4 linked regions of the Sus scrofa genome follow. The protein of the gene in region 3 purifies or fractionates together with the protein of the main gene of each other region. This does not show direct contact. Links are inferred from orthologs where the notes say so. Each region holds a gene or a part of one and is shown on either strand. Other genes may lie near its edges.

Region 1 (6,213 bases), on a different chromosome or scaffold from region 3:
TATTATTAAAAATGAGTTACCTTTATCAATGAAAATGTAAATATTACAAACATAGGCAGCATATACAATGTATTTTAGATTACTGATAATATAGCTGAAAGAGCTATATTATGAATTATATAAAAATGCCACTCCAAAATAGACATTTAAACTTACCAGCTGAAATTTCTCTGTCTCCTAGAAGAATATCTTTCAGTGTAAAAGGTGTTGAGGTAAATTTATATCTAGGAAACAGAAAACATCGCTTCTTTTTTACCACCAGACTTAGAGGTTGGTATTTGTCAGCCTCACTGAGGCTTGGAACAGGAACTAATCTCCCTCCATCTCCAACTTGCTTGACAAAGCTCTTGGTAGCAGCAGCAAACATATTAATAAAGCATCAAAATGTCATAAACTGCAATCCTCAGATAACAAATACATATTTTCAAAGAAAATCAGGCATAAAACTAAGTTTTGCTGATTTTAAATATAATTATTCATGTTAAAAATACAAAGCATGGTTTCACCAAGGGGCTTACCAGTCTACAATTTACAACACTGCCTCCCCTGGTGTGCTCAGGTAATGAATTATAGATTAACTGTGTAAAATGATATACTAAAAGCAAGTCTAATTTGGAATAGTAGTCTATAACACTAAAATATACACAGAAAACTTAGTAATTTTTAAATATCACCAATGTCCTTGATGAGGGTCACAGGTGATAGTGATTTGCCAGGTTTTAATGAAGCATATGGCCCTATGGGGAACAATGCAATTTAGCCACTAACATGAGCCCTGGACACCACCAACAATGGATCTAGTCCAAAGGGAATTCCTTCACAAGTCCATTACAATAATTTTGGCAACAGAAAAGTACTCTTACAAATCCTTATGCTACACAGTTCATTCTTTGAACATTTCATTCATTTTTCCTTGTACGTTTATGAAACCAAGTGATTAATATAAAAATAAATTCGCAGAATATACAGAAACAAATGTATGCAGAACTTTATAAAACACTAAGTCATATTACATATAACTGAATAAACTCTGAGCTAGGGATTTCTTATGCTGGAGATGACACATAGGGTCCTGCTGCATTTATTTTTGTTTCATAATTATCTCGGTTACTCAACCTTTAGAGAAGTATATAAAGTTTAGGCTTGTCTTTTTTGTTTGTTTGTTTGTTTGTTTTCTCTTTCTGCTATTTCTTTGGGCCGCTCCCGCGGCATATGGAGGTTCCCAGGCTAGGGGTTGAATCGGAGCTGTAGCCACCGGCCTACGCCAGAGCCACAGCAACGCGAGATCCAAGCCGCATCTGCAACCTATACCACAGCTCACGGCAACGCCGATCCTTAACCCACTGAGCAAAGGCAGGGACCGAACCCGCAACCTCATGGTTCCTAGTCGGATTCGTTAACCACTGCGCCACGACGGGAACTCCTAGGCTTGTTTTTTAGGAATTTTACGGCTAAAAATAAATTTTAGAAACAAATCTGAGTCCTGGAATTATGTATTGCCATAGCTATGTGGATATTAACATATTCTGAAGTAGTGGCTATATGGTACCTTCAATAAGACATTCATTAAAACATAACAATGGATAGTAATAGATATACATCTATAGAGGGAAGAGGGAGGGAAGAAAAAACAGACTTGTTTCAAGCCTCAAGTAATATAAATCACTTTGATTAGATCCGGATTTTTTTTCTTTGCTTTCAAGTATCCAGGGTTCGAGAGTTAACAAAAGTTTCCAAAAATGTCTCTTCGTGTGATCAGTATTGTGCCAGGCAATCCAGCAGAACGAGAAAGTACAAGGGGTTATTTCTGCAAGCAAAACCCCTAGCAGCGATAGGACATCTCATGTAGCTGAGTCCCATCAAAGGTGGTGCATCCCAGGCAAACGCCATTACAAGCAACACAGGTGTGCAGAAGCAGCAGTTAATTGGAATTGGGTTCAAAGAAAAGCCTTCGTTTACACCTAAGGTGTCTTGCTGGGACCCGCTATCCTAGCACTCAGCAGTCGACGAAGACAATGAAGCCCACCCCGGGTGAAAAAAGTGGGTCTCCCTACGTCTCCACGATCACCTAATGGCAGGCTTCAGCGACAGGACGAGCCCACCCGCAGCCTTCAGGAGCCGATATACTGCAAGTCTCACGTTTCGGGCCCAGACCGGGGCAGGCTCTCTGGCAATTTTGCATTTGAAATTTTGAAATCATTTTCTTAAAGTGACGCAATCGTCCTCTTCCCCCCCTCCCACCCACCCCTTCAAAAAAAAGGCTGAGCTGCAGGCCTCACAGACTGAAGCTTGCAAGCCCGCGGACTAGCCTCTCTAGGCAGGAAACAGCCTCCTTTTAAGGACACAGAACTGCGGTCTCCTCAAGCCGCTGGGCAGAAGGCGGGGCACCGTCTGCAGCTGAGGACTGCTGGGGCTGCGGGGAGGGCGGGGAGGGCACTAGAGAGCCTGGAGAGCAGGTGGGCGGGGCTGGCGAGGAGCTCCGCCAGAGCTGGGGCAGCAGGGGGCGTGGCCGGGAACGGAGAACGGGGAACCGTGCTCTTGCACGGAGGCTCCACCCCCGCCCGTCCCCCGGAGGGACGCAAGAGGGGAGGAGAAGGGGTGTCGGAGGAGGGGAGGAGGTGGCGGCGTCGGCGCCGGATCGCTTCTCTCGGGGACCGGCCGACCCGTGAGCGAGAACGTAGCTCCGCACTGCTCTTCCTCCCGCTGGAAAACCGTCCCTTCTCACCATGTCTCAAAGCAGGCATCGCGCTGCGGCTCCGCCGCTGGAGCGCGAGGACAGCGGGACCTTCAGGTCAGTGCCCTGGCGGTCGGGACCGAGCCGGGAAAGGCCAGGAGTGGTGGGCAGGAGAGGAGGGGGCGGGGGAGCCGGCTATCCAGCGGCATTCTGGGTAAAGCCCCTTCCTGGCGCTCGCGTCCGGGCTGCTGCTGCTGGAGCGGAGGCTAGCTCTCGGCCCCGCCCTCTTGGCGCGCTGGCCGGGGTCTCCAGCAGGGCCCAGCCCCGCCCCTCCTGTGACCTCGGGCTGCGCGGGGTGGGCGGAGGTAGCACGCGGCAACCCCGGTGGGTTTTGTCGGCTTGGTACTGGAGATTGCAACTCCCGTGCGTGCCTCCCGATTTCCTTGCTACTCCCTTCTACCCGCATTCAAGTTATCTCCCTAAAGACCTCCGTCCCCCTGCCCTCTGCCCGCCGCGGCGGGGTCCGGAGGCTTGGTAAGCCTCTCCAGTCTGGCCCTGGCCGACGGGCAGCTTCGGTGCCTTCGGCGTCACCATTAGGGGCTGTTAAAACTAGTCTCAATGCTTCTATTTCCCTCCCCGTTTTGACGTGCAAAGCACAGCTTTTTCTGGTTTTTGCAGTTTGGGGAAGATGATTACAGCTAAGCCGGGGAAAACACCAATTCAGGTATTACATGAATACGGCATGAAGACCAAGAACATCCCGGTTTATGAATGTGAAAGATCCGATGTGCAAATACACGTGCCCACTTTCACCTTCAGAGTAACCGTTGGTGACATAACCTGCACAGGTCTGTATGCACAGTTAACCCTGATGACCCTGTAGGTTGGCTGTCAAGAGCTGGTATTGCTTCTCTGTTCCCGAAAAGTGTCCTAGAGACATCATTGAGGAGCAGGCTCTTGAAACTGGGACCTTTCCCGGATCATTGGGACGTTTCAACTTCTCTGATTCCCTAATTTTCTCTTCCCTAGATACTAAGAGAAGCTCAGAAACATACCCTGGAACCCTCCTAGGGTTCTTCCAAGAATTAGGTAGAAGCGGGAAAGATTCTTGGAGCAGGCATAGCTGAATTAGTAGATAGTGTCAAGTTTCTTAGGTTATAGCAGATGGCAGAGGGCATGACCTCAGAATTTTCTGAGCTGCTCCCCTCTGTTTGGACTCATTTGGCACTTTGGACCCATTGTACCATGCTGGACTCTATCTAAGCAAGCAACAAGCAACTACAATGTTGTGTGGCAGTTTCTAGTTCTTGACACTGTACAAGTTTTTTAAATAAGATGTTATCTCCCTTTTTTTTTTTTACAGTTGAGGAAATCTGTTCAGAGAGATTATAAGAAACATGCCCAAGGTCACATAGTAGTGAAGTTTCAAGATTCAGATTCACCTATGGTCATTGAGCTAGAGCAAATAATAACTGAAGTAGCCCATTTGCACCTGTAGACATTTTATTTCTTATGTATTTAATTGCAAACACAAAAAATATTGATTACTAAATTTAATTTGGAAGAATGCCAAGGAAAATATTCAACAGGAAGGCTGAAGTTCCACCATCTGGTAATCTGAAGGCATCATTTGTTTGTGTCCCCGTTATTTTCAATTGAAGCCACGTTAAAAAAAAAAATTCAGGATCTTTTTTGTCTGTGTGGGGCAGGTGGATTGTAGCTAGATTTTAGCTAGAAGATTCCTCACAGGAATCATAGAATAAGCATTGCATTACTGCTTTAGCTGGTCTATTTGTAAATGTTGGATGAAAATTCAAGAAAAAGTAGCTCTCCCCCTCCCCCCCCCCCCCCCCCGAGGTTAACAACCTATGGCAACTGCTCAGCCCTCCTACTCTTCTCACACTGCCCTGTCTTCCTGTGTAAGCTTATCTGTCTATGGCTTCAAATACTACCTAAAGGCTGATAATTCTGAAATCTGTCTTCAGCTCAGGCCCAGGTACAGAACAGTGTAGCAGCCTGTGCTTGCTAGACATTTTCACTTGGATGACCCAAAGACACCTCAGTCTCTCACTGACTCAAAATGAATCCATCTTCTCTTTCAAACCCATTTCCCCTGCACTCCCCAGCACAATAGAAGCACCTTTCATCACCCATTTGCTCGAAGTAGAAATTTGAGTTTCATCTTCTTGATCCTTTCCCTTCCCTCCTCTTGTTTCCCAGTCTGCCACCAAACCCTACTTCCTAAATATCTCTCTTTTTTTTTTTTTTTGGCTTTTTAGGGCCATGCCCATGGCATATGCAGGTTCCCAGGATAGGGGTTGAATCAGATCTGTAGTTGCCAGCCTACACCAGAGTCACAGCAACGCCAGATCTGTGCTGCATCTGCAGCCTACACCACAGCTCACGGCAACGCCAGATCCTTAACCCACTGAACAAGGACAGGGATCAAACCCGCAACCTCATGGATTCATTAACCACTGAGCCACAACGGGAACACCCCCTAAATATATCTTGAATCTGCCTGCTTCTCTCATCTTCACATTGCTACTGTCCAAGCCACTTGGATTATAGTTACAGTCTCAAAGCTGCTCGTTTAGCTTCTAGTCTTGTGTCCATTTTCCACATAAAAACCATAGTGTTCTTTCTGGCATTCATATCTTTTCATATACTTCCTCTTCTTAAAATCCATTCTGTTTTTCACATCACCCTCTGGATGATTACAGATTTCTTAATGTGACTGACAATCTTACTTCTCAAAGTGTGAATAACAACAGCAGCATTGATTTCATCTGAGTATTTGAAGGGAGTGCAGAATATCAGACCCCAGCCTAGACCTACTAGATCAGAACATGCCTTCTAACGAAATTCCCAGGCAGATTCTGAAGTTTGAGAGGTACAAATTTAGGAGATCACTCTTTGACCTCTCCTACCCTTCAACTCTCTAGCCTTTTATCTCAAAATTCCTTCCCTCAAGCTCTTAACTGTCCCCAGCGATGTGGGGCTTGAGAGTACCACACGCCATGCTGCCTCTTAGCTTTTGCAGGTTCCCTTTTTTCTGCCCACCGGCCCTCCCTAATCCCCCAGCTTTCTTCACCTAACTTTTACTAATCTTTCAAGTCCTTGTTTAGTTATCTCCTCCTTCATGAAACCTTCCTGAATCCTTACCAAGAGTATGGGAGGGAGCTGTGCCTTTTGTAGCCTACCCTACAACCTGCACTTGGGGCTGCCGTAACCCTCCATATTTCAGGTCTCTTTTTATGGACAAAAATCTCAGGCACTAGGCTATATACTCTTTAGCTCAGAGACTCCATTTACTTCTCTACTACAGTTGACCCTTGAATAGCATGGTTTTGAGTGATGTGGGTCCACATATACACAGATCTTTTTTAGTAGTAAATGCAGTACCCACAGTCCATGGTTGGTTGAAGTTATGAAGGAAGCTGGAAATAGAGGAACCACAGAAACAGAGGGCTGGCTTAAGTTATAGGTGGATTTTCAACAGTGCAGAGAGTTGATGCCCCTAAGTCCCATATTGTTTA
Region 2 (6,169 bases), on a different chromosome or scaffold from region 3:
GTATCCATGAGGACACATCCCTGGCCTTGCTCAGGGGGTTAAAGATCCGGTGTTGCCATGAGCTGTGGTGTACGTCACAGGCGTGGCTCTGATATGGCGTTGCTGTGGCTGTGGTTTAGGCCGGCAACTGCAGCTCTAATTCAACCCCTAGCCGGGGAACTTCCATATGCCACCGGTGTGGAGAAAGAGAAAGAAAGGAAGGAAGGAAGGGAGTTCCCGTTGTGGCGCAGTGGTTGACGAATCCGACTAAGAACCATGAGGTTGTGGGTTCGATCCCTGCCCTTGCTCACTGGGTTAACGATCCGGCGTTGCTGTGAGCTGTGGTGTAGGTTGCAGATGCAGCTCGGATCCTGCGTTGCTGTGGCTCTGGCATAGGCTGGAAGCTACAGCTCTGATTCGACCCCTAGCCTGGGAACCTCCATATGCTGCGGGAGCGGCCCAAAGAAATAGCAAAAAGACAAAAAAAAAAAAAAAAGGAAGGAAGGAAGGAAAGAGAGAAAGAGAAAGAAAGGAAGAAAGAAGGAAAGAAAGAAATGTAGAGTGCTGAAACAACTATATCCAAACACTAATTTAAGAATATAACTAAGAAACAACCTACTCATTTTGCAAGACTGTATGAGACAACTACCGAACAGTTCAAATCATTTTGCCTTATCATTAATTTAAGATAATAGAAAATTTTTTTCTTCCATCAGTAGGTAAGTACAATTCCTTAGGCCCTCAACAGTAGTCTGACTTTACCTAAAAATACAGACTAGAATAGTATGTCCTAAAAAAGTTATTCAGGAAAACTGCTATCTCCATGAACTTTTCTGCTTCTTCTATTCCCACTTTATTTAGAATGAAAATATAACATATATACTCTTAGTCCAGCTGTAATTAAACCATAAAAATTAGTTTCATCAAAAGTTCCCTTAATTAAGGAGTCATAGGCACAGGTGCTAAACTATCAATCATTATTATTTAAAAACCAATTATGCATTGAGAACTATGTCTAGATACTCATGTTGCAACAGAAGAAATGGTGGGGGAAAAACTGTAATTGTAATGTATACATGTAAGGATAACCTGACCCCCTTGCTGTACAGTGGGAAAATAAAATTTAAAAAAAAAAAACAAAAAACAATTATGTCTGCCAGCTTTTTGGTTAAATCAAAGTTCACACAGTACTAAATCAGTACATTATACAGGACATCCTTTAAAAAATCACTTAAAATATTACATACGAAAGGAAAATGTAGACAAATATTAACTTTTGGTGAAGAATGACTCATCAAGAAACAATTATACAGAATTTGTATCTGAAGTCCTCTAATGTAAATAAATTCGTTTTCTATGTATCCACCTAACAACTAGAATTTATAACACCTTGCCATAAGATGATTCCTGAAAATCTACATAGAAAAGAAAAACTCAGATCAGAATTGGAGGGTTAAGAACCAACACTGACTCAACAGACTATCAGAGAACATGTGCATCTAAATTTTTGAAAGCAAAATGTATTATCTGTCAAATTCTTGATTTTAAATTTAGCTGCATATTTTCCTCAACTATGCTTTCAATTTCACTTGCTGCATAACAATTACATGTAAGTCTTACGAAGAAAGAAAATTTTGTTCTTGAAGATGACAATCTTGAGCCAAATTATAATTTATCTTCTTTAGTAAATCATGTTTAAGCTGCACTGAAGAATAAACTTTGTGTTTCAAGATGTCCACGTATATGGTTGATAAATCTAACCATACCTCTGCAGATGTGAAGACAGTTAAATGGGTATATATTTCAGTGATAGCACATGAAAAATGAGGTAAAAGTTGTCTATCGCTCAAGAATTCATAGCAGCATTTAATGAATCATACTTGGTTAGGTGGACTAATTGACTAGGTGGTTTGACTTCAGAAGTATTTTCTAAGATGCTATCCACATATTTGGGAATAATTTCATATGAAAAACCCAAAGAAGAAAAAGAAAAAAACTAAAAATGTTTTGGAAATGTCTTTAAAATTTTAAGATAATTAGTAAAGTCTTTAACTTTCATGTTTGTTTTTCAGGCTCAACAATAGAACAGTTATATAAAAATTACATATAGTTTCCAAATCATCACAATCTCTAAATAGTGTATTAGAAAATTGAAAAACAAAAAACAAAAAAGGTAGGATAGGGCAGTTTTGGAAATACACAAATCGATGATAAACAAGAGTCTAAAACTCCTGATAATCTAGACAAACTTGCCCTTTTTAAGACGACATGAATAAGAGGGGAAAATGGAGCATGCAAAAGAGAAATGATAGAAATTGATTAGAGAAAATTCCATATAATAAAACTTGTAATAAACCTTTCTCTCCAGCCCATCTCTACAATTTCTAAGTGCTTTTTGCATCTACTTGATAATTATACTCCTTAACGCAGTCAACAAAATCTTTATTATCATGTCACTGGTTTCTTTTATATGATTTTTTTCTTATCTCATATTTAAGTGCCTCCCGAACTGGCAAAATGAGATGTGAAATTCAGGGACTTGTGATCCTATTAGTAACAAGATACCCCCCCAAATATCTTCAAAATTAATTTATAAATTTCTGACTGGATGAAGCATACTTCCAAATTTAGCATACCAAGTATGATCATTTGGAAAGCAAACCGTTACGTAACACCTACTTTATGTCCTTCAGTTAATTACGGACCATAAAGAGTGCTTTTTCATTCTTTTTTTTTTTTTTTTTTTTTACGATAAGCACTGCCCATGTTGCAATTTTTTTCTCAAGACTGTCATTTTTCCCAAAGAGAGAAACAATTTTCTTAAATTCCAAATTTCCAAGAATATGATGGCCGATTCTCTAGGAAAAAAAAGAAAAATGGAAAAAGACAGGTAGCTAGATAGACCGACGGACAGAAATTTTAAGACCTATCGCCTCACATAAGCAGTGATCCAGGCTGATAATGACATTTCCAAGATCCTCAGAAACTATATACCATGCTGCCACAAACATCAGATGAGAACTCAGGGATGACACAAATGCCATCTTGCATTTGACGTTGCACTAATACCTATCTTAAACTTAGTTTTTATCTGTTATCCTAATGCATCCTCATGACTACCTTAAAAGATAAGCAAGGGAGAGTGCCGGCCGCCCAGTGCCCCTACGGGACACACAACCTGGTCAAAGGACACACACACCGTTACATCTTCAACTGGAATAACAGAAGCGATGACAAACGCTTCTGGACTCCAGTGAAAGAGTAATATCGCCTAGAGAACCCTAAACTTCAATTTTGTCAGCAGCGTCTCCTCCCCGCAGTTTCGCCCACTCCGTGGCCGGGGGAACCGCCGCAGGGCTGCGGGGAGGCGGAGGAGGGGCCGGGGGCGGAGGAGGGAGCCACCCGGGCGCCGCTCACCTCGCGCACCTGGGCCTGGGCGGAGGGAGCGACGACGTTCTGGGGATACCTCGGCGAACGGACCAGCAGCTCTGACTCACTCACCTGCGGAGCCGATTTCCATTCATGGAGCTGGGGGGAGTGCTTCGAGCGAGAAGGGCGCCCGCCACTGAGGGCAAGGTGGCGGCGCAGGGAGCGACGCGGCGCGACAGGAACCCTCACTCGGCCCGGAGGCGGGGTGGCGACAGCTTCTCCTCAGCAACCGCACTCTGAAAGCTCCCGTCAGGAAGATCGGCCGTCGGGAGGCAGCACGAGACTAGAAGAGAGGAAGAAGCGTGTGGCGAGAAGAGAAGAGCTCCGTACGGAACTTGCGTCGCCCGCGGCCGCTTACGCTCCCACTGCCTCTCCACGACTGCGGCGCCGCCGCCGACCTCCCCGGGGGCCGCCCCCGGAAGCCCGCTGGCGTCAGTTCCGCTGCCCGGGCTCGCCGGACGTCCAAGCCTCGCCTCTCAGCCTAGCCGTGCGGGCGCGGCCGGCGCGGAGGACGCAGGGGAGGTGTCACCGAGCGGGCGCCGCGCCTGGGCGGGGCCTGAGGCGAGCGCGGCCGTGGGTGGCGAGCGCGGCGGGGCCGGCCCTCCCGCTGTCCTCTGCCGGGCGGTGCAGGCCGGAGACAACCCCGAGGGGCTGGACTCCTCCTGCCGCCTTGATGCAGGGCCGTGCTTGTCTGAGACGACGTCTTAGAGGGCGGCGTAGCCAACCTGCACAGGAGCCTCCCGGGAACGTGGTTAGTGCGACGGGCAGGACAAAGATCTGAGGGCCCTGGGCCGATCTCCGGTCTTGGGTAAAAACCCCCTCCTTCTCGAAACCCTCTCACCACGCCCGGTTTGGACCGCCTCACACGCCTCCTCTGCAGGCGGTGAAGTGATCACCACAGTTGATCACTCCGTTTGTAGAGTTGCTTTGACGACCATTTTTTTTTGGGGGGGGGAATGTACACTATAACTCTGTTAGATTAAGAAACATGACTTTACACAAACATCAGCTCGAATAACTTCCATGTTTAAAACTCTTTAATAACGCCTGGTCAGGCTAAGACCCAAAGTCCATTCTGGGGCCAAACCGCCTGTTGTAACGGGGCCCCAGCCTTTCCCCTCAAGTGAGAATCTTCCTCGTCGCTATGCTACAGCTATACTGGTCTGCTTCCAATTCCCGCAAAAGGAAAAGTGCCTAATAGACCTGGAGCGTCTCTGCTTCTGGTTCCCTTGGCAGGAGCCCTCTTCCTCTTCACCCTCACCCCTTCCCCTCAGCTCCCCAACCGCTCTTCATACTTCGACTTCAGACATCTCAGAGGTCTTGCCCGGACGTCTGATCTATGATCAGTGACTTCTGTATATTATTACAGTATTTCCTAATAGCCCATATCCCAATCTGCAGTTTTCATGTACTAGTTTATTATGTGCCGTCTCCCCCACTAGAATGTAAGCTTTATAAGGTTATTAGGACCAGCACATTAGTCTTTCTTGCCTTAAAGAAATATGATACTATTTTATTCAGGATGAGGAATGATTCATGATTTTTCCCTACGTCCCGAAGCATCAGTAATGTTTTAGACTTTTAATAATCAAAATACACTCTTTTTAAAAAAGCTTTGGACAAAGAGGAAAAGGAAAAAATATCCTATCTTTAGTCCAGCCCAATCACTGAGGGGACTTTGATCAGTCACTTGAGCCTCTCTGGGCTTCAGTTTCCTCACAGCTGTGAAGTTAACGAATGCACGTTATGCATCCAGAAAATCCACCCTAAATGTTAGTAAGAATGTATTTACTATAGTTACCATTTTAAAGCACTTATTAGATGCACCTACCATATAGTAAACACTTTATAAGTTGACTTTTATAACTTTACCTTTTACAAAAAATGCTCTCCCCAATTTTAAAATATCAAATGTTACTAGATGAAACACTGTATCTTAAAAGTTACTTTGAATCCTTGACTAAAGGGATTCCACAGCAGTTGACAGGGGTAAATATCAACTTTTGCAAGGGTCTATCACACCCTCAACCCCCTCAACAGGTTCCCTAAATGACTGTAGGCTTCTTAGGTGTCTCCCAGAATAGACATAGTGACGATGAGGACCCCAAAGGTAAGCCTTATTTGATGACATGGATGAAGCAGAATTTGGACCTTCTAATTCAATCCAATTTAATAAATGTCAATGATGCCTTCCCATTTACTGTTGCTACTCAGGATCCCCCATCTCTAAGCCCGTGTGAAAGGCTCATGAATTGTAATGTCAGGAAATAGGAATATTTCAGATATATACAGATATATCTCCTATGCATAGGAAGTTACAGTATCAGGAAATAGGAAGGCAAAAAAGTTTGATTCTTCCAAAAGCAAAGTTGTGAGAGCTCTCCTCTGAGCACATGCACATCATAGTTTTGGATTCCCAAGTGAGTCTTAAGGACATAAGAGCAGGGTCTCTTTGTATCTTAAATGACAAAGCCCCAGTGCCTAGAACAGTGCCACTGCTTGTTACACAGCAGCATTTTATAAATATCTTGTGGAACAGGTAGATGGATGAATAGGTGAGTGGGCTTCACAGAGGGGCTCAGGAAGCAGGCTAAAACTCTGCCCTCATCCATTGTGATATGGTTGTTCTCAGAAGGGAGAACTATAAAATAGTGTAGAAATCTCAGGGGCACAGAAATCAGTGCCCTCTGAAAGTTGTGTTCCTAACTGTGCTAGATAAACATCACTGGATGAGGAAAGCAACTGGATAGAATCCTCTCTC
Region 3 (6,305 bases):
TTGCTTCACACGGGCTGAAATATTAGCTCTAAGATTTCAGGTGATCCAAACAAAGTGTGAAACACTATCCCTCACAAGATTTTATGTCTCTGAATTTAAAACAAACCAGCAACTGGAGCATGAATAGATAGGCCATCGGAACAAAACAGTCTCGAAGTGAACTCTTCAACAAATGGTCAAGAAACGGCAAACTATGTAGCCATCTGGAAAAAAAAAATTTGGATTCTTACCTCACCCCATATACTGAATCAGTTCCAAATGGATCAATGCTTAATTGCAAAAGACTGGCTGTCTAAATGTCTGTCAATAGAGAACTGCTTAAACAAATTATGGGCACATCCCTGCAATAAAATATGGGGACAGAATAAAACAGCAAGTTTTGTATATATTGCCACAGACACATATTCTCGATGTATTAAGTTAAAAAAAGCAAGGTATAGTAAATACGTATGGCAGCCTATCCTATTTGTAAACGAGGACTGTCTTGGCTTGTATTGCATAAAAAATTCTCTAGGGGAATGAGCAAGAAACAGTGGTTACCTGTTTGGAGCATGGGCACAGGTGTAGGGCATTCTTTTTACCGTACACCTTTCTATGTTTTCTGACTAACGAACCATATGTATGTACGACTTACTTTAAAAATTCAAAACACCCTGATGAAAATCAGACAAACTTGCTGATGGAGAAGCTCAGCTAGTCTTGACAGACTGAGAGGATAGCAGGAGGGCTGAGAATTTTACCTGCCCACCCACTTCCGCTGCTAGTGACCTCCAGTTACCTATTCCCATCCTCGGCTGTCATCCTTCTCATAAAAGATCTCTCCAAAAAGCCTTTACTTAACATTACTAGGCAGGTCTGTTGCCCCCAGTGCAATATAAGTGCTTGATATATAAAAACATGTTATTTTTACGGAGGTCTGCCCAGAACATTCTGACTACTGCCTAATTTTACCCACAAACATGCTTTTATGTGAAATTTCTAGCCAATTCACAGTAACGACGTGCTCAAAAAGTGAGCACTGCAGTGACTGAATACACCAGCCCTGAAGCCAGACTGCCTGGGTTCAAACCTCAGTTGTTCACTTAATAGCGGCTTCCTTGCTGGAGGTTATCCACCTTCTTCTTCTGTTAAAACGGGGGGCATTTACAGCATAAAAATCACATAAAAATCAAACCTTACAACAGCCTGCCCAACAGCAATATAGTGCGAGTCACATACGACTTTAAACACTTTCTATTTCTAGTACATACACCAAAAAAATAAAAGCAAACGAAACCATTATTTATCCCCATATACCAAAAACACTATCACTTCAACTTGTCATCAATATCATACCCGTTAGGGAGAGGTTCTGCATTCTCTTTTTGGGTAAAGAATACATACATCTGAGTATCAGCTATCATATCTCCACTGGGACTAGCCATACTTTTAAGTGCTCAATATAGCAGGTGCTAAGTGCTAATTCTTAGAAGCGTGGCTGCTATTACCATACCTCATCTGGAGTAAGCCACTGTACCACGTGAGTCATCTGGAAGACGGGCCTACATTTTGGGATAAAGTCATAGGATTTGCCTTTAGCCAGTCACTTCCTGGACCTCCACGTTTTAACTCACAGCCACAAAACACACGGTTCCGATCTAAGCAAATGAACAGTTCGCATAAATGGGGCCGCTGCCCCCTCTCATGTGCAGGTTATCTCAGTTGCGAGACGGGGGTGAGGGTGGGATGAGTCGTCACCCCAAATGCGGGGGGCCCAGCACCACTAACCCCGGGGGGGGAAAAGCAGGCGAATGGGAAAGTCCTTTAAAAAGGGGAAGGGCTGGTAAAAGGAGCGCCGAGCCCTTCGGAGAACAATTACGGCCGTGGGGCAGGGCCACGTTCCGGGGATGTGGGTGCCAGAAGGGGCAACAATGGAGGCGGGCGAATTCCGCGAGCCAGCAGATTCTGCCGAGCCAAGCGAGCGTCCGCAGCCCCGGCCCGCGGGCCCTTGCAGGGCCGCGAAAGTGCCGAGCCGCAGGCGGTGGAACGTCCGGGTTGGGTCTGGGCTCTGGGCCGCAAACGCCGCCTGGGCCTCCACCGCGCGAGTCCACTGTCTCCCGGCTCCTGAGTGGCTGGGGGGCCGGGGTTAACCTTTCACCGCCGCGCTCTGTCCAATCACAGGCTCGCTCTCATGCCGGCGCGGGGCGAGCGGAGCGTGGGGGCGCGGAGGGGGCGGTGCGGGCGCGGGTGGGATTCTCCAAGCTGCTGTGCGCCGTTGCCGCGGGCCTTGCGCGGGCTGCGGGCGAGCCGGCCGCTGCGCAGTCTCCGCAGCCGCCGGCGGGAGGGGTCGAGGCGGAGGCGCGGCGCGGCGCAGGCTGCTCCAGGCCCAGGTGAATGGAGTAACCTGACAGCGGGGACGAGGCGACGGCGAGCGGGAGGAAATGGCGGCGGCGGCGGCGGCGCCGGGCGGCACCGGGAGGCCTGGGTTGTGACGCGCGCGCCGAAGCGGGGTCCGATGGTTCTCGAAGGCCCGCGGCGCCCCGTGCTGCAGGTGAGGCGTGCTCCCGCGGAGCCGCTTTGTGTCCAGGGCGGGGAGCGGCTCCGCCCGGCCCCGCGCCCGCCTCTGCGCGGAGGCCCGCGTGGGCGCCCGGGCCTGGGCCCCGCGGTGGGGGGACCGGCGCGGGCAGATGGCGCGGCCTCGCCTGGTCCTGGACGGCGCGGCCTGCGGGGCTGGCGTCCACCCCGCCGGGCTCTGCGCCTCCCCGACCCCGGCGCCCGTCCCGAGTCGGCGCTTCGGAGGGACTTTGTGCGGTCGCCCAGGCACCGGATAGGGACGCGGGCGCCTCCGCTGCGGGCGTGGGGCCGGTCCTCGCCGCTCGCCCCGGGCCCGCGGAGAGCGGGGCTTTGACAGGTCCTGTTAACGCACGCGGCAGTGGTGCGGGATCAGCAGCCCCGTCCCGGGAGCATCCTCGGGACCCGGTGGTGGCGGTGGCTGCGCTGGGCCTCCTCGATGGACACCTTCGAGGGGGCCAGGAGGGAAGGAAGCCGGGCCGTCTGTGCTGGCAGGAAAGTGCGAGCCTCTGGGGCGCGCCCTTCGAGAATTGTTCGTGTTTACTGGCAGGTGACCAGATCTGGGTCCCCAGGGGCCGGTGACCGAGGCCATCTTTCCCCCCACCCCTCCTCTCCAGTGTTTTTGTGCCAGATCGCCTGGACCCTGCAAAGGAGCCTTTCTTAAGGGTTTTTAAATCTGCTTTGGGAAATCAGTGTATGTTTCAAGTTAGCATAGTAGATTTTTTTGTAGATTGTCCAGAAGAGCTGAGCTGCCTGGTGGCTTTGCCCGCGGTACAGAGCTAACTAACCACTTAATGTATCTTTAATAGCTTGAAGATTTGCAAAAACCGAGACGAGCGGAGAGTCCTTGCTGTAGAGTTCAACCTGTGCTTTTGGGAGGAAAAGTCCTGCTGAAAGGGGCACATTACTGACTCATCTAAGTCTGAAGTATTGCGACTATCACGATTTAAAAGCGTTCATCTGATTCAACAGTATTACTCTGGAGTCTGTGCTTCTTGCGGTGCTTTGGCCTTTGACTTTTCTGAGTCGTCACAATCCTGATTTTCAGTTGTCTTCTTGTTGCTTGTTTTTTCAAGTGCAGCACAGTGAGTGGAAAAGGGCACAAGTCAGGAGTTAAGTAACTTGGAAATTATTTTTTTTAATGTGCTTTAAATAAAAGGCTAACCACATTGAAAGAGTATTGGCATAAACATTAAATTTTCTAAATAAAAATACCCATCTTTGCCAAGAGCTCCAATAATTTGTTAGAGGATGAATGACGGGACAAGATTCTGAATGTGCTGCTAGTGAATAGTAATTTTAGTATTAGTATCTTTGGGAAGTAGGTTCTGGAATAATCAGTTTATTTTGCAAAGCATTGTCTTTAAAGCTTGCTGTCCCTCTGGGGCATATGTATATTGTAAGTAATATATGAAACATATATGGTTACTTCAGAACTTCATTTCAGGACATATTTTATAAAACTATAGGTTAGAAACACTGCAGAGATTGCCTTTAATATGTCACTATGGATACTTAAATGGCAATGAGGGATTTATTCAAGGCATCAAAATGCTGTTTTAAGAAAAGATGTCCACGTTTCATTTGGGGAGCAAAGCCCTCCTTTTTCTGCAGTAAGGGCTTGCTTTCCTTTTTATGCTGTCTTCTCATCATTAAAGGCTAGTTCTGCTTCTTGTATTATGCCTGTGGGTCTGTGTGTGAGTTGTATGTGAAGTGGTTTTGCCATTGCTGAATTGTATTGTCTTGGTTTTAGAAGACATTTTTATCTTGATGTGGCTCATGATCCTAATTTGACAGTGATTTTGTGGTGGTGTGCAGTGGGTAGTACTTTTAAAGTACTCCTGTCTTCAAGAAGGCTGACCTTTAAGGCACTGAGATATTTATTCCCTGCCGCTCTGGGACAGATGGAGGAGATACTTGTTTCATTTGAGAAAGTAGGTATTTCATGGACATTCAACTTAATGTTGTCTTATTTTATTTATTTATTTTTTTTGTCTTTTTTTTTGCTATTTCTTGGGCCGCTCCCGAGGCATATGGAGGTTCCCAGGCTAGGGGTCCAATCGGAGCTATAGCCACCGGCCTACGCCAGAGCCACAGCAACGTGGGATCCGAGCCGTGTCTGCAACCTACACCACAGCTCACGGCAACGCCAGATCGTTAACCCACTGAGCAAGGGCAGGGACCGAACCCACAACCTCATGGTTCCTAGTGGGATTCGTTAACCACTGCGCCACGACGGGAACTCCATGTTGTCTTATTTTACATGCAAGGAAGCTAAGACTTAGAGGGTTCTGACTCTAGAAGTGACAGAGCCAGGATTGGATCCTGCTCTGATTTCACAGTCTTTACGTGTGGGCGCTTATCCTTGCGTTGCATTGCATCGCTGCTGCAAGTGGACTTGAGGTGAAAAACCTGCATAAGTTGCACGTAAGTCCTTAGTTAATACTTGCTGAATGAATTGAAACTGTCTCACCTTAAGTGTCCAGGTGACCTTTGATTATCTGAATTACTTAACATTTGCCTCCTTTTTTGTGGTAAAATACAACAAAAGGTACCATCTTAACCATTTTTAAGTGTTAATAATGCAGTGCTGTGGCATTAAGTGCATTCACATTGTTCTGCAGCCATCATCACCATTCATCTTCCTCAACTGAGACTGTCCCCGCTCAGCGTTAACTCCCCATTCCACCATCCTCCCCGGCCCAGGCCACCATCGTTCTGTTCTCTGTCTCTATGAATCTGACGGCTCTTGGAACCTAACGTAAGCAGAATCAAAACAACATTGTCCTTTTGTGACTTAACATTGCATCTTCCAGAATCATGCATCTTGTAGCCTGTGTCAGAATTTCCTGCTTTTTCAAGGCTGAGTAATATTTCATCATACATGGATGCACCCCATTTTGCTTCTCCATTCATTCTTCGATGGATTCTTGTGTTGCTTGTGCGTTTTGGCTTTGTAAACAATGCTGCTGTGAACAGAGGTGTACAGATTATCTGTTTGAATCCCAGCTTTCACTTCTTGGGGATTTGTTTCTTGATCATCAAGCAAGAAGTGGTCAGATTGTTTCTTAATCGCCAGAACACTAGAATAGACTCCGAATTTATTGCAATATGAGTTTTCTCAGGGTAGTTCCGGATAGTTCTACTTTCCCACAAATAGCAACTATTTGTTAATAGAAGACTTTAATCTTTTTGAGGCCAAAGACTTAGCTGTTTTTAATGATCTCCGTTTCCATCCGTATTAGCAAGTAGCTGAATTCATTCGGTTGATCCATCGTGGCGCCCTCGTTGTGCTCTGTTGGATGCCAGAGGGAGGTACTGGTCAGGTCTGTGCTTAACTTGGGTAAAGAGTAAGTTGGAGCCGAGTGGTTTCCCCTTGTGCTCTGGCACGTTCGTGAGTGCAGCACGCTCTCAAAGCCCCGGGGATGTATGTGTTTGATTGGCTCCTCTGAGGATGGGTTCAAGAGGGCCTTCTAACAGACAGGTGTTTGAGAGGACTCTGAGCCTGAGGGACGGAGTGTGGAGAGAGCTGGGGGGATTCGATGAGAGGCTTTGAACAGGGATCATTAGCATCTCCATGTAGCTAAAGTTTGTTATTTTTTCAGTGTTTTATTAGTCAAAGCAAAAGAGGAAGCAGGACTAATTAGAGTTGGCATTGATTAATGAAAGGAAGTGTACCAATTCATCAGAAGCAGCCTCTTGTGTGAAGAATGAGCATTTGGATTCTTAGGTAAAAAGATGACATTAGCAATGTA
Region 4 (6,328 bases), on a different chromosome or scaffold from region 3:
GCGGCCATAAAACAAAAAACAAATGTTATCTGGAATTCCTTTATATGCTACCACTTTACCTAGCCAAGAGTGAAATCCCTGGTGATAGAGACACTCCACAGAGAGGCCAGGGTCAGGCTTGACACCAGCAGCCACTTTGGAGGTAGATCAGAATAGTGATCTGTGCCTTTCCACAAACTTAACTGTGAGGCTTGGTATTTAGAACAGGGGATTCAGACTCTTCTTGAGGAATGCTGAGCTTCCATCTTAGTTGTACTAAGGCACTGGTCTTGGTTTTCTGAGAATGTTTTGATGCCATCTGTTTGATTCAGATGAACCCAGATTTACTGATCAACCTAGGCACATCTTGTGTCAGGCACTAAAGGGGGACAGAAATGTATGTGATATGGTCCTTGTTCTTAAAGAATTTAGAATGTAGTACGAGAGGCAGACAGTAATTATGGTAGCAGCCAATACTTTGCTTGCATTCTTTTAGGTACTGTTCTAAGTTTTTCCTTTTATATGTATTAATAACAGCCCAGTGAGGTAGGTACTATTTTCACCCTTTGAAACGGGGGAGGAGAAAATTAAGACACAGAAAAATTAAGTCATTTGCTCGGTGTTAACACAGCTAGTAAATGGCAGCACCTGGGTTGAAACCAGAACAGTGTGATTCTAGAGCCTTTGTTCTTAACTTTATATTGTTGGAGCACTAGTTCTCAAAATGTCCCCAGATCAGCAGCATCAGCCTCATCTGAAAACATATTAGAAATCCATATTCTTTGTGTCCCACCTAAGACCTCCTGAATCATAAATTCTGGAGGTGGTGCTCAGCATTCAGTGTTTTAACAAAGCTGATGCCTGCTGTTTGTGAAACTCTTCAGAGAAAAGCAAAGGATACTATGAAAAGTGTCAGAAATTAATCTCCTCCAATGGATAGTGACTGGTATGGTCTCTGTTAAGTTTCTAGCCTTCTGCACAGCATCTAGTGGAAAGTAGGTGTCAAACAATACATGCGGATGAATGCATATGAATGAAAATATGGAAAAGTTATGTTTGAACTGGGTCTCTTGCCACCTATCAGTTGAAGGGGACTGAATGGGAGTAATGTTCCCAGAATCTGTGAAACTAGCAAGGTAACGTACTTTTGGCAAGACATGATAAGGGTCTGCACCAGCACAAGGAACCATCAGAATGGCAAGGACGACATATGAGAGCAGTTCAGGAAGTAAACAAGTCAGGTCTTGGTAAACAGCTGGCTGTATGGGTGAAGAAGCAAGGATCATTTCTGGGGTGAAGGTGCCCTTTGCAGAGACAGGAGGTACAGGACAGGCACATTTGTAGGGGAAAGAGAGTTTGGTTTGGGACTCTAAATTTGAAGGGCTGGTTTATCCAGGTGGAGCTGTCCAGCAGACATTTGGAAATATGAGTCTGAGACATGGTTGGAAATAGAGATTTGGAAGGATAGTTGAGCCATAAGAGTGAATGACACTTTTAAGGGGAAAGTGGAAAGTGGAATGAGAAGGAAGAGCTGGGTGTGGAACCATGATGAACACTGTTACTTAATGCGTTGAAAGCAGGGGGGAAGGGTCCTTGAAGAAGACTGAAGAGGACATAAACAATAGAAGACCTCAGAAAATGCTGAAGCCAAGTGGAAGGCTCAAAAAGGAAGGAGAGGCACAGTGTCATATGCCGCAGAGAAATAGGGACTGAAAATTATCCTTTGAATTTAGACACAAAAAGTGTTTTAAGTGGCGTGGTGAGGGGCAGAAGCGGATTGACTGAGTTCAGGCGTGAGCTGTAGATGAGAAAGTGGAGACAGGTGCTTCCCAGGTCCCGCAGGTAGTGCTCGGTAGCTGCACTTAAGTTTGAGAATGTGACATCTTCCAGGGTAGGCAAGGTCTCTTTCACATCTGTGGTCTCAGCGCCCAGCACTTGGCCTGGAAGAGAGGGTGGCGTCAGTGAGTTCAGTGACTGGGGACGGAGAAAGGCTTCGCGGAGGCAGTCGCTTTGCAGCCGAAGCTTGAAGGATGAGGGTGATTGGGAGGAGAGGTGGGAGGCAGGGCCCCTGGGTGATGGGTCTCTCAGAGTGTGTGAGGGTGGCCCGGGAACGTGGTGGATATGCACGCGTGGCTCTGTGCGAAGGGGGAAGGCTGTGTATGGGCTTGGAGGGACCCATTTGGGGAAAAGACAGGGCCGGAGGCTGCTGCAGGGGTGTCCTCCCGCCCCGCCCCACTTAACGCTACCGCGCGGTGCCGCGGCGCCTCCACCGGAGCCCTCCCGCCGGGCTGCATGGCGACGGGTGACCGCCAGGGGCCGCTGCCTCCGGTCCCCGGTGCCCCCGCCCCTCTCCATTGGCCTTTGTTGCCGTCGGAGCGCCCCGTTTGACTCGTTCCCGTCCGCCCCCTGGGCCTGGCGGTCGCGCCTGCGCACTGGCAGCTGGCCGGGCGCTCGCAGGGGGAGCTGCTGCAGGCTCCGCGGCGGCGGCGGCAACGGAGGCTGCGGCGGTGGCGGCGCGAGCGGCCGGGCTTGGCGGGGGGAGCCGAGCCCGGCCCGGGAGCCTGAGCAGCTAGAGTGCGGGGTATCTAGACCCCTCACACTGGACTCCACAGTCTCTGGGCCGCCTGACCTCCGCACGGGTATATGGGATGGAAGCGGGACCCTCGGGAGCAGGTAAGGGCCCCCGGGAAGGGGGGACGGTGCATGCTCCAAGGACCAGGGTACTTCCGCGTAAAGGGCAGGATTTCCGAGTGAGGAAAGGTTTCCTGAGTGAAGAAAGGGGCTCTTAAGAGATGGGGGGCCCAGTTTGAAGGGGGCTGTGTGCAGTTCCGGGGGAAACCTTGTGAAGGGAGCTCTGAGACGAGGGCCATTTATCAGAGACTGTATGCACTCCTGGAGGTGGGAAGTGATCTGAGAGAAGGGCCTGAACACACGTAAGGAGTCCTAGAGATCCCGGGAGGCCTAGGGAGAGGCACGGCAGGTGGCAGGGGGCGGGCTCCAGGTGTTCAGGAGAGGAGGGGGTCGACACAGATGGGCCCTGAGCTGCCGCATGCCGGGGGCGGGGGTTCATCCCGGCTAGGCTGGGTTGGGTTTGTGTCTTTTCGGGAGAAGGCGCCAGATCTGGGCTGTGAGCTCCGCCCCAGCCGGGCCTAACGCGGGGGCGAGGGTCAGGGGGCGGTGGGTGGGGATCCAGCCCCGGGATTCCCCCCCTTGAGTCTGGGGAGCTGGAGAAGAGGCGCCGGAGCATGCGCGGAGGTGGCAGCTGGAAGGGGCTGCCTGATGTGGTGGGGGCGTGGCCGCCCGAACCCCCCCACCCCCAATCGTGCCAGGTTTGGCTTGGAAAAAGGAGCGCGAGGATGGGGTGTATTCTCTCTTAGGTCATGCTGGCTTAGCGCAAATGGAAATGGGCCCCTTCCCCATCCTGAGGCTCTTGCACTTGGCCCTGAAAACCTTCAGTCACAGTTTGCCAAGAATGGATTGAAGGAAACTGCCAAAGTGCCTTATTCTGCTACTGGGATGAGGAAAGACTGAGATAGAAGCAATGTTTTAGGTTAGAGACGGGTCCTTCCTGAAGACAGGCCTTAGAAAATGTATTGGTTACTTAGGAACCGAAGTCAGGGCCAGGTTTGCCTAGAAGGGGTTGTCTTTCCGGTTTGCATGTTTCTGGTCCAGTAGTGAACAGAGTTGGGATCTTTTAATCCAAGTATAATGACCTCTCTATTGAAATGTCTCCAGAGGTGACAGCCTAATCTTTCTATACCTTAATGTTTTTATGGCTGCTATCCCCCACTGGGTATCTTTTCTTTTCCTCTCTCTACTCCCCAGAAACTCCTAGGGCCATGTTATTACAGGTTGCCAAGCTAGCCTTTTGCCGCAAATAAGTTGTTTGGAGTAGGGGGAAGTTTATAGCCTTCACCCTGATGAGTCTCAGATCATAGCTTTAATGTCTCGTTACTCACAACCAGGAGAAAAGTAGGTAAGAGTAGAAGAGAAACTGAGGCAGAGCTGCCCCAAGAAGACCAGAGTCCTTGGATGGGCTGTAGGGTGGAGACACCTCCTGTGTCCTAGATAGGAGACCTTTGATGGGAGGAGTATGGACCTTTAGGTCTTGTCTCACCACTTCCTTCCATTTGATCTGGGGGTGGGAATAGGATTTCCACTGGGGACATGAATTTCATTTCTGGTTGAAGAATCTTTGTCTTTTATACCACAGCTATTCCCCTCAAGGAAATAGCTCCTACCAGCACATTCAAGTCATCTATTCAGTGACTTCTAAGTACTTAGTGACTACTTTCCCCAAGACAAAAACAAAGCTGGAATGCTGGGAGCAACTGACTTGAGAAAACTACTTCCTTCTTCCCTTAGGCCCCTTTCTCCGTTCAGGGAACTCTCCTAGTTTTCTGGGCTGGAGACAACTTGCGACAACCTATGGACTAGGGTAGGAATGGGTCACAGAGGTCCAGATGGATTGCTGGGAGCTGGCACTCATTCCAGACTGTGAATGATCTTGTTGATCATTTATCTAATGATGAATGCCTAATGGACTCTGGAGTGATGAAAAATTTGACTTTGTTGTTGTAAATAAATAAGCTTATAGGGAAGAAACTGGAGCCTGGTATCTGGAGTTGGCTGTACCTTAATGGGGCAGGCTTTACTTGCCTGGTAATTGGAATTTATTCTGAAAGCTGTGAGTGGAGGGATTTCCATAACTGCCTCCTTCCTAGGCCCAGATGATTTTCTTGGAGGTCGGAGGATATGATACACAAAGCAAAGTATTGTTGCTGGCTTCATTGGGCTTATGTCCAGATGTGCCTTCTGTGCTTAAGTGTGTTTTAAGCACATATACTGGACTGGGAACTCCCAGGGTAGAGGTGGTGTCTGATTTATCTGTGGAGGCCCTGACAGAAGTACATGTTTATTTTTTGAATTAAATCAAATTCTAGTGTGAACGTAAATGGTTAACACATATGTGAATGTTTAATAATTTGATGTACTCAGTGTGTGATACTTTTTGGTGAGATTGGCCTCTTAGTCTTTGCTTATCAGACAGCTAACCTAGCCTTGAGTTTGTCTTTTGAATGGACAGTCTAGCTCCTTGGGAGGTATGTGGGCCTCAGAACTGCAGGGAAGGAATCCCTGAGCCAAGCCTTTCAGCTCTGATACTTTTCCTTCTCCCGGCTGGTTGGGGATGGGGGAGGGGGAGTGTCCTTTTCATAGCCCCTCCCTCCTTGCTTTTGTCTGCAGGGAAGGGCCCCGCCCCTTTCCCCCAAGGCCCAAGCTTTGTCCTCTGTGCTGGGGCCCTCATCTGCATCACAAAGTGGCCGTCTGTCCCTGTCTGGGTCTGAAGGGAAGTGTCTCCCTTTCTCAGACTAAAAGCTGGGGGCAGGGTGGGGTTAGAGGGGAACTTTGAAAGCCTTGCAGGGGGATCTGGTGAGGAAGGGGTTCTCTATTCCTCCTGCCTTCCCTATTTTGGGGATGAAGGTGAAGGTGGGGGCTCCCTGTTTTCCCCAAGCCTTCTAGGAGTAGAGGGTGCCTAAGGCTAAGTCTGGTGTGTAGTTCTGGGGAAGAGAAGGCTTTGAGACTTGAGTGTCTGTCCCATCCCCCATCATTTCTACCCAGCCCCTAGCTCTAGGGGATGAGTTTCTCCCAAGGCTCCAAACAATTATTCAGCCTGGGAGGCTATGGAGGTGAATGGAATATTAGAACATAGGGAGGGGAAGGGTGTCTCTTACCCGCTACTTCCACCAGGGTCAGGTTTGTCCTGTGCAGGATTTGTAATTGTTTCTGAGCAGTTTGCAGGTGTTTGTGTGCTGTGCATGCGTGTGTGTTCTTTGTGATGTGTCTTTGGATCTGTTTGTTAATTCATTTGATATCTGTATATTGGACCCCTCCTATATGCCTGGCACTGGAAATTCAGCAGTGACCAAGGCAGATACAGCCTTTATATCTTTGAAGAAATCAAAATCTAGGGTGGTGAGGGATATGTGTATGAAGGTAATCTATCCAGGCCTAAGTGTGTGTTTGGGTGTGTATTAAGTGTGTTCCTCTATGTGTGTATGTCTGTCTGTGGCTTGTGTACAATTTCCCTCCAGCTCTTCCTGGGGTAGGCTGCCAGGTGCTAGTCATTAGACTTTCACTTCCCCAGGTAGCTGATTCCTGTAGGCCTCTTCCCCCTAGGCTGGGCCTCCATTTCCCTGTCTGCAGAGTGGGGTAGACTTGACAGGTGGTTAGGAGATACAGCAGCTTAGCTCTGGGAAGCCTGCCCCTCCCATGAATGGTTCTGACCTCTTCCTGACCCCCCAGCTGAGGATATGCCCCATCCCCCCAGCCTGGCTGACTGTGAAAGCAG

What was found. Proteins that work in one complex are often made in the same cells at the same time.
Region 1: the proteins of DICER1 (region 3) and PRKRA purify together in Homo sapiens (co-immunoprecipitation; 4 studies listed by BioGRID and IntAct, with this or other methods). This does not show direct contact. The link is inferred for Sus scrofa from reciprocal best matches to the Homo sapiens genes DICER1 and PRKRA.
Region 2: the proteins of DICER1 (region 3) and AGO3 purify together in Homo sapiens (affinity purification with mass spectrometry; 3 studies listed by BioGRID and IntAct, with this or other methods). This does not show direct contact. The link is inferred for Sus scrofa from reciprocal best matches to the Homo sapiens genes DICER1 and AGO3.
Region 4: the proteins of DICER1 (region 3) and AGO1 purify together in Homo sapiens (co-immunoprecipitation; 7 studies listed by BioGRID and IntAct, with this or other methods). This does not show direct contact. The link is inferred for Sus scrofa from reciprocal best matches to the Homo sapiens genes DICER1 and AGO1.

The regions. Positions count from the first base shown.
Region 1 is NC_010457.5:84,152,896-84,159,108, reverse strand, and holds the start of PRKRA (interferon-inducible double-stranded RNA-dependent protein kinase activator A), read left to right. Parts: upstream 1-2,512; 5' UTR 2,513-2,726; coding exon 2,727-2,791; intron 2,792-3,352; coding exon 3,353-3,522; intron 3,523-6,213. UniProt on the Homo sapiens protein: Activates EIF2AK2/PKR in the absence of double-stranded RNA (dsRNA), leading to phosphorylation of EIF2S1/EFI2-alpha and inhibition of translation and induction of apoptosis.
Region 2 is NC_010448.4:92,079,295-92,085,463, reverse strand, and holds the start of AGO3 (protein argonaute-3), read right to left. Parts: upstream 3,702-6,169; 5' UTR 3,500-3,701; coding exon of another isoform or gene 3,481-3,499; intron 1-3,480.
Region 3 is NC_010449.5:116,432,385-116,438,689, reverse strand, and holds the start of DICER1 (endoribonuclease Dicer), read left to right. Parts: upstream 1-2,269; 5' UTR 2,270-2,369; exon of another isoform or gene 2,370-2,530; intron 2,531-6,305. UniProt on the Homo sapiens protein: Double-stranded RNA (dsRNA) endoribonuclease playing a central role in short dsRNA-mediated post-transcriptional gene silencing.
Region 4 is NC_010448.4:92,035,589-92,041,916, forward strand, and holds the start of AGO1 (protein argonaute-1), read left to right. Parts: upstream 1-2,627; coding exon 2,628-2,652; coding exon of another isoform or gene 2,653-2,833; intron 2,834-2,912; coding exon of another isoform or gene 2,913-3,226; intron 3,227-6,328. Other genes in the region: vegetative cell wall protein gp1-like, read right to left, coding at 1,696-1,919, 2,226-2,833, 2,913-3,226.